2 linked regions of the Sus scrofa genome follow. The protein of the gene in region 2 purifies or fractionates together with the protein of the main gene of each other region. This does not show direct contact. Links are inferred from orthologs where the notes say so. Each region holds a gene or a part of one and is shown on either strand. Other genes may lie near its edges.

What was found.
Region 1: the proteins of PHF6 (region 2) and LYAR purify together in Homo sapiens (affinity purification with mass spectrometry; 3 studies listed by BioGRID and IntAct, with this or other methods). This does not show direct contact. The link is inferred for Sus scrofa from reciprocal best matches to the Homo sapiens genes PHF6 and LYAR.

Annotation. Positions count from the first base shown.
Region 1 is NC_010450.4:6,094,543-6,098,353, reverse strand, and holds part of LYAR (cell growth-regulating nucleolar protein), read right to left. Parts: intron 3,317-3,811; coding exon 2,893-3,316; intron 2,571-2,892; coding exon 2,484-2,570; intron 1-2,483. UniProt on the Homo sapiens protein: Plays a role in the maintenance of the appropriate processing of 47S/45S pre-rRNA to 32S/30S pre-rRNAs and their subsequent processing to produce 18S and 28S rRNAs. Also acts at the level of transcription regulation.
Region 2 is NC_010461.5:110,247,749-110,252,006, forward strand, and holds the start of PHF6 (PHD finger protein 6), read left to right. Parts: upstream 1-1,342; 5' UTR 1,343-1,460; intron 1,461-4,258.

The sequences.
Region 1 (3,811 bases), on a different chromosome or scaffold from region 2:
TTGTAGTTGGAGCAAGATTATTCTAAAACATCTAATTTTGAAAAAAGAATAAAGTGAGAGGAATAAGCCTACCCAATTTCAAGACTTTAAAAGTCAAGAATGCATGGTATTGGCAGAGGGATAGACAGAGAGCAATGAAACAGAATAAAGATCTCAGAACAGACCTACACAAATATGCCCATGGATATTTGACAAAGGGACAAAAGCGATTCACTGAGGAGAAAAGACAGCTTTTTTGACAAACAGTGTGCACCAACCAGACACTGATTAGCAAAGAAATGAACCTTGAACCAAATCTCATGCCTCACATAAAAATTAACGCAAAATGGATCATAGACATAAGTATAAAATCTAAAACTATAAGACATTTAGGAAAAGAGAAAAAAATCTCTAGGATTTAGGACTGGCAAAGAGTGCTTAAGACTTGATGTCAAAAGTATCATCTACTGGAGTTCTCTTGCGGCAGAGGGGGTTAAGGATCCAGAGTTGTCACTGCAGCAGCTTGGGTCGCTGCTGTGTGGCACAGGTTCAATACCTGGCCCGGGAACTTCAGCATAACATAGCCACAGCCACAGCCAAAAGAAAAAAAAAAGATATTGTTAAGAGGATAAAAAGACAAGCTACAAATTGAAAAACAAAACAAAAAACCAAAGTGCAACTTGCAAACCCCACGTCCCACAAAAGACTAGTATTTAGAATATATAAGGAACACTCAAGTCTCAACAGTTTAAAAAAAAAAACAAAAAAGCAACAACAATCCCATCAGAAAATGGGCAAAGGACAAGAACAGACATTTCAATGAAGAGAGAGACAGAAAATAAATGAATGAAAAGATGTTCAATATCATTAGGCAGGGACGTACACATGACAACTGCTGTGAGTTATTACTACACACCCACCAAAATGGCTAAAATAAAAAACAGTAACGCCACCAAACGTTGGCCACACGTGGGGAAAACTGGAACCTCCACACACTGCTGGCGGGAATATGAAATGGCACAGCCACTCTCGTAAGAGCTGGCAGTTTCTTAAAAAAGCAAATACGCAATGACCATACCACAGAGCCACCGCGCTCCTGAACATTTATTCCAGAAAGCGTGACGCGGGTCCACCGGAAACTGGACACCCATGTTTACAGCAGCTTCATTCGTAGTAACAATGAGCTGGAAGTGGCCCAGTGTCCTTCGGTGGCTGAACGGACAAGCTGCAGACCCCTGCTCAGGTGAAAAGAATGGATGCCCGAGGCACGCAGCAACCTTGGAGGGTCCCCCAAGAAGGCTGGGTGAAGAGCGCCCCTCTCAAGAGGCTGCACACCACGTGATGCCATTTACGTAACATTCTGAATGAAAAAGCCACAGCGGTGGAGGTAAATGGACGTCAAGGGACACGGGTCACCGCTGGGTACAGGAGGGGTCGGGGGCCAGAGAAGCAGCAGGAGGGATCCTCGTGGTGATGGGAGTGTTTGCCTCGACGGTACAAGGCCAGCGCCCCAGTGGAGTTGTGTCCTAAGGTGTGCAAAGCACCACCCTTGGAGGAAACCGGGTCAAGGCCACAGGAGGATCCGTAGGTCTGTCATTTCTTACAACTGCATGTGAATTTACAATTGTCTCAAAACTAAAAATCTGATGAAATGAAAAAGCTTCACACATACAAATTTTCAAGCTAAGAGATCTAAGCCAGATTGGGCAGTTCCTAAACGTCTGGGAATAAAGCCTCAATTCCCATTTGAGGCCTTGGGCCTGTTCTTGACTGGCAGGTCCCCAGGGCTGCTTCAGGCCCAAGCAGAGGGACAGCTCTGTGGAGGAGGCAGCACTGAAGGGGACCCTGAGGGCCAGGGGTAGGAGTCTGCCAAGTTCACCTTCTGGCTAAGGGAGAGGGGTGGCCCTGGGGCTCCAAGCAAAGGGACAGCGGGGACACACCCAGAGGTGGGGGCAGCAACAGCCAGGCCAGGCTGGACCACAGGCTAGTTCTAGGAGAGTAACGAGGGGCAGGGACAAGGGAAGCAGGTCCCAGGAAGCCGTACTGGCTTTATCTGTTTTATTTTTCTGTTGCCTTTTTAGGGCCACACCCATGGTATGTGGAGGTTCCCAGGCTGGGGTACAATTGGAGCTGTAGCCGCCGGCCTACACCACAGCTACAGCAATACCAGATCTTTAACCCACTGAGCGAGGCCAGGGATTGAAGCCACAACCTCGGGGTTCCTGGTCAGATTTGTTTCCACTGTGCCATGACGGGAACTCCCGTACCGGCTTTATCTTCAGCTCCAAGATAATCTGTTTCCAGCCCAGACGGCTTTATATTTTATCCTTAAAGCCAGACAGCGCTTGTGCATGACTCTGGAGTCAGGCATACGGAACGTCCTATATTTCGCTTTCAGATTCTTCCATGTGCCCCTGGAGGGCAGGACCACAGCCGGCCCCAGCCTTCCTCCCCACCTCCCCCCAACCTGGAGAGGGCAGAGCCTCCAGTGACGGCAGCCACACCTTTTGCAGGAGCCTCATGGTTTTCCGCTTCTCCACCCTCACAATGTCCTGGGAGCTTCATCTTCTTCTTCTTAGAATCTGCTTCAACTAAGTAATTCAAAGATTAAAAAAAAAAAAAAAAATTGCATTTATAACAGCAGCTGCCATGTAGCGAGAGGCCGCCACAGCCAGGCCCCCTCCACCCATCACCCCGCTCACTCCCCAAGCACCCAGCCCCAAAGGGCGCCTCCTCCTCCAAGGCAGGTGACAAGACAGGCAGATGAGAGGTGATGTCACTTGTCCAGACTAAGCCCAGGTCGGCTTGATCCCAAACCTTATGCTCCTTGGCTTGCTTGGGTCAAACTGCTAAGTCTACCAGGCTTCCTATAGACCCCAAACTCGAACCCCCAGGCACCGGCTAGCCACAGACCTTCCAGATCCTTCCGCTTTCTCTTCCCTGGACCGGTTTCTGCCGTCCTCTCCTGGTCCTCAGTGGCTCCATCCGCCTCCTGGGCGCGCTCGGCCTTGCTCCTCTTCTTCCGGCTCTTCTTCCCCGCGCAGCCGGGGGCCTCCAGGGCCTCCTCCCCTTCGGCCTCTGGCTCCTTCTTGCGCTTTTTAGGCTTCTGACTCTTCGAGTTCTCTTGGTGGTTTTCCAGTTTTAGTTCTTTCTTTTCTTTTTTCCTGTTCTTCTGCTGCCTTTCTTCTTTCCTTTCTCTCTTATTCTTCTTGGCCTCTGCACGCTCTTCTAAGGTGTCATTTGCTTTCGAGGATGGAGCCGTGGCGGAGTTTTCTGCCTGGGGTTGGGCCACTTGCTCTGGTGGCTGCTCATCTTGCCCTTTGTTACTGACTGGCTCCTTATTATTAAGCAAAACCAAGAAACACATAAACACTCATTCTAGATCCAGCTGTTCACATCACCGCATGTTATCCATGGAATAAATTCTTAAAACTATTCTTACTACTTACCACTTTATAACTGTGCCTTCCCATAGTTCAAATGGAGCAGCAAACAGGCAAATTGGAGAAAACCACCCTCAGCCCACATCCCTCTTTGCGTTTAATAGAGAGTTTGCATTCCATTGGAAGAGGAAGAATTTTCATGTCATTTTAAAGCCAGGCCATTCATTCTGGCTATCTGCCTCTTAGAAAAGAACGTGAGCACAGCGATGTGGCAGAAACCACCAGACTTATGCACCTGCAGGCCGGGGTTCAAGCTCCAGCTCTGTTCGTCACCAGCCAGGTGACTCAGGGCAAGCTAGTTATCGGCTCCAAACCAATTTCCTCATCTGTAGACAAAAGGCAGTGGCCCTATCTTATGCGGTTCATGTGTGACTAAAACGAGAAAAGCT
Region 2 (4,258 bases):
TACAGGGCCTGAGTGAAAGGGCTAAGGGTCCCTCGCAGCTAAATGACTGCTTTGTCGGCGCTTATTAGGTACCTGTTTGTATGGTTTACAGTGTTACATCAAACATGGTTATTGTTTTCTTGAGGATTTACAATTTAATGTTGACATTGCAGTGAAAAATAAAAAGAATAATGAAACACGATAGAAACAGCAGTGGCTTTCCAAAACAATGGAAAGCCACTGCCCCCCCCCCAAACAGGAAACATAGCTACTTGAAGGGCATCTTTAAATATTCGTTGGTTTGTTAGGGGATTTTTTTTTTTTTTATTTAACCACTGGCTTGCAGTCTGTGAGCCCAGCAGAAAAATAACAAAAGCTGGCCCTCACTTAGAGCATACTATGTGCCCAAACATTTTTCTGTGATTTACATATATCAACGCATTTCTGGAAACATCCATTTTGGATGTGTTGAAACTGAGGGACAGAGAGGTAATGCAACGTGCTCAAGGTCATAGACCGAGAAGTGGAGGAGCTGAGATTCAAACCCAAGCAGTCCGGCTTCATACATCAAAGAGGAAAGCACTCAGTTTAGGTGTCGAGTTTACCTGTACGAATTATGAAGAAAATCACTTATCTCTTCTGATTACGAAAATCTCATAATTTATAGAAGGCCTGTTACACGCCAGGGACGCTAATACACGGTTTACTTGCACTGTCTCATTTCTTCCTCACAATAAACCCGTGAGGTACTGTTTTTTCTCCTTATTTCAAAGACACACACGACTTTAAGGCACAGAGATGAAAACCGATTCGCCCAAAGATTGAAACCCAGGCAGACTGACTCCACTACAAGCTTCTCAGTGTTTCCTGGCAGTAAAATGAGAGAACGGAGGACCTCAAAGGAATGCCACGAGAGTACAATGAAATAATGGATGTGAAAAGGCCTCGGTGAACAAGTGCAAGGGATCAGGCCTACCCACTTGAATCACTGTCGAAAACTGGCTACCCAGGGCCCCCGGCCAACGGTTTCGAGCCCCAACCCAGCCCCTTCTCCGCCCAACCCACGGCGATATCTTTGAATCTCTTTCTCTATCTCCTCGGCTCCTGCCCCCAAACACTGGGTTGAGGGGCGGACCGGAGAATAGAAGGTACGCGCGCGAGCAGGAGGCGGGGCCTGCCGCCCCGAGCCGTACCGGGGGTGGCTTCTGCACATGCGTCGTGGCTCTGCGGCTTCAGCTGCCCCCTCGCTGCAGCCAATCAGAGCCCGCGGCGCGCTCGAGACGTATTAACGCTGTGTGAGTCGCTGCGTGCGAGGGGGGCGACGTAAGGGCGCTCCGCGAGCCCGTCTCTCCTCGAATGAAAGGAAACAACCTCCGGCGACAGAGCCCCGCTCCCAGACGCTGCTGGAGAACCGAGACCGACTTCTTTCTCTTTCCCCTCATTGGCGCTTCTCGCCTGCCGTTCGCCTCTGGGCCCCGCCGGTGAGTCCCCACGGTACCCTGGGGCCCCCTATTCTCTGCCCGGCGGGAGAAGACAAGGAGGATGGCGGTGGCCAGGCCGCCGCCCCTGCCCGTTGTTAAGGGGGACTCTTGGTGGTCTCGCTTTATTGTCAGGGACCCCAGAAGCGCCGCTCATTGAAGGCGCTTGGCAGAGAGGCTGCGGAGAAAAGTGCTGCGGAGCCACCAAGGGAGAGGTTAGGCTTTAGGCTAGACTTCGGGGGAGGGGGCGCAACATTTAAGGAGGAAAAAAAATACTGGGAATTTTTAGTCTTGGCCATCGCTTAGGACATATTTGGGAAGGAGGGAGACTCCCAGTTTGGGAAGAGTGAGAAGAATTGTTAGGGTGGCAGGAAGGTTAGCCTTACGGAATAAGGAAAAACTCCGGGGTGGGGGGAATTAGGGGTGAAACTGAGATAGGAAGCGAAGACTGTTAGAGGGCGAACTCCTGGGGGGGAGGAGGATTAAGGAAAGTGTAGGGTGATATTTCCCTGGATCCAGGAGGATTGGCAAAGGACAATTAGGGGACCCTGACTTTACGACCGAAAGGAACCTGCTAAAGTGTTTTAGAGGAAGATAGTTTTTGCGAGTTTACCTAGCTCTTGATTAGAGGGAGATCTTGGAGTCTAGTGTATATTGAGGAGTAAATAACGGAGAGGATCTGGTACGTTATGTGTACCATCCTTTATTATATGGACGAACAGCACGGCATTCTTTTGAAATTTCTTCGTTTCGATATTCTGCGTGGAAGTTGAAAAATCCTTTATTTTCGAAAAACCTTCCCTCTTCGTCGGCTTACTACGTAATATCAGGTCTTATACACTTCAAATCCTTTCTCTACGCTTGGGTTTGAAACAACTGGAAAATTCCTTCAGTTTCCTTTTGAATAACCGCAAAAAGCAGTGCGAAGCATGTAATAATATCGTGCAGCCAAATTCAGGTGCCCTTCCGGTTCATCTCTTATTCGTTTATTTCTCTCCAGTGTAACTTTCCTGACAGAAATACTGCCTCTTGGATCGTGTTTATATGTTTTGGTCTGTATATTTATTTCAGCTTGCTTGCGTGGGGAATTGTTTGATCTTCCGAAACTGCAATTTTTGTTTTGTTTTGTTTTTCTGTAAAAATGGTCTTTCAGATACCAGCCATTGAATGAGCTCTCGAGTTGGCTCTTGAATGCTCTCCTTGATGTTTCAGGTTATTTCCACCGTGGTGCTTTACAGCATCTTGGAAAATCGGAAATGCACTGATTGCTTCAGCCTGACTAATCGGGCTTTTATTTATGCATTTTTTTCAAATGTTTGAATGATGTTTCTGACGCTGTTATCTTTGCCTCTTCATTTCTGTTTTGTAATATTATCCATAATGCTGCGTTTCTTTTAAGGAAAAGCTTTCATTGTTGGGTGAAAGCATCAAAGTTTGATCTCTGCCTGCCCTGAAAAACCTTTTAGACCAAAATTAAAATGCCTTATACTGTATGGATCATTATGAACCTCTTAATACTGGTCCTTGGAATGCCCTTATTCCACTAAAGTAGAGACCACAAATGTGACAGCAATAGATAAAAATCTGTATTTTTATGATAAAGACATTTTTGCTAGGAGTCATTGTTTCCATGATGTTCGCCACTTCATGTTTTACAAGGAGACTGTAAAAAAAAATTAGCAAGATATGCACAGATGCATTATTTGAATTTTAGTGGAAAAATCCATTTAGTCATTGCACGTTGGGGAAAGTTTTTAATTGGTTTGATGCACTTTGTGTGCATTTTGTTCACCTTACAAATTACATTTAAACTGGTAACAGAAAAAAATACACTAGGATATTTTTGAATGCAAAATAAAGTGTACCTTTTTTTTCTCTTTTAGATTTTGGCGTCTTTGATATCTAGAAAAGTAGGTTCTAAAAATTAGGATGAGAAATTTACCTGTGTATAAAATGGAAAGAGGCAGGATTCAGTGTAGGTAGGATTTGGGGTGGGGGGGCACCATTTTCAGAATTAATTTCAAGAATGAAAAGCGATTTTCTAATCTAGGAATTTACTTTATCTTAAGCTGGTTTTATAGCTTATGCTAGGGTTGTACAGAAATTACACATTAAGATGTCTGTATAGATCGGATTCATAATGTGCCATCCTTTCAACTAGCCAAGTATGACCGGGAGAAATGCTGTGTACACTACAGTGCTTTTAGAGTGCTTACTGTTCATTGCGTAGTAGTGAAGAAAGCTAATTTAGAACTCAAATAGCAAATTTTGCTGCTATTTATGAATTTTGGTGTTTTGCATATTTAATTCTAAAGGTTTTGGCAGCTATATTCTTGATAAAGCAACTGAACACATATTTGCTTGAGCAAATGCAAACACACTTCCCCTTTTGTTTCTTTTGTTTCTCTGTTATGTTCTTTTTTTTTTTTCTTTAATCCTAAAAGTATTTGCTGCCTGTTTTCAATCAGTTTCACGGTTTATAGCCAGTGCTATGAATACAGTATTGTTGTAAAGTATCTGATGCCATTTGGAAGAGTGAGGTATTTAAAATTGTAGATACATTAAGAGTTTGTTAAACCCATCAATGCAGAGACTGTCAGAACATTTGAAGTTCCATTAAAGAGAAAAACCGAGATATAAGTTGATGGAGAAGACCTGTTTCTTTGTGGCTTCCTGTGAAATTTTAAGTATCTGCATTTTTACATTGGAAAGCACTGAATGGTTTGCATCTACCACCTTGCTAGTGTCCAGCTGCTGCTGCTGCCGTTGGTGAACAAGTGCTTCTCAGAAAGCAACAGTAT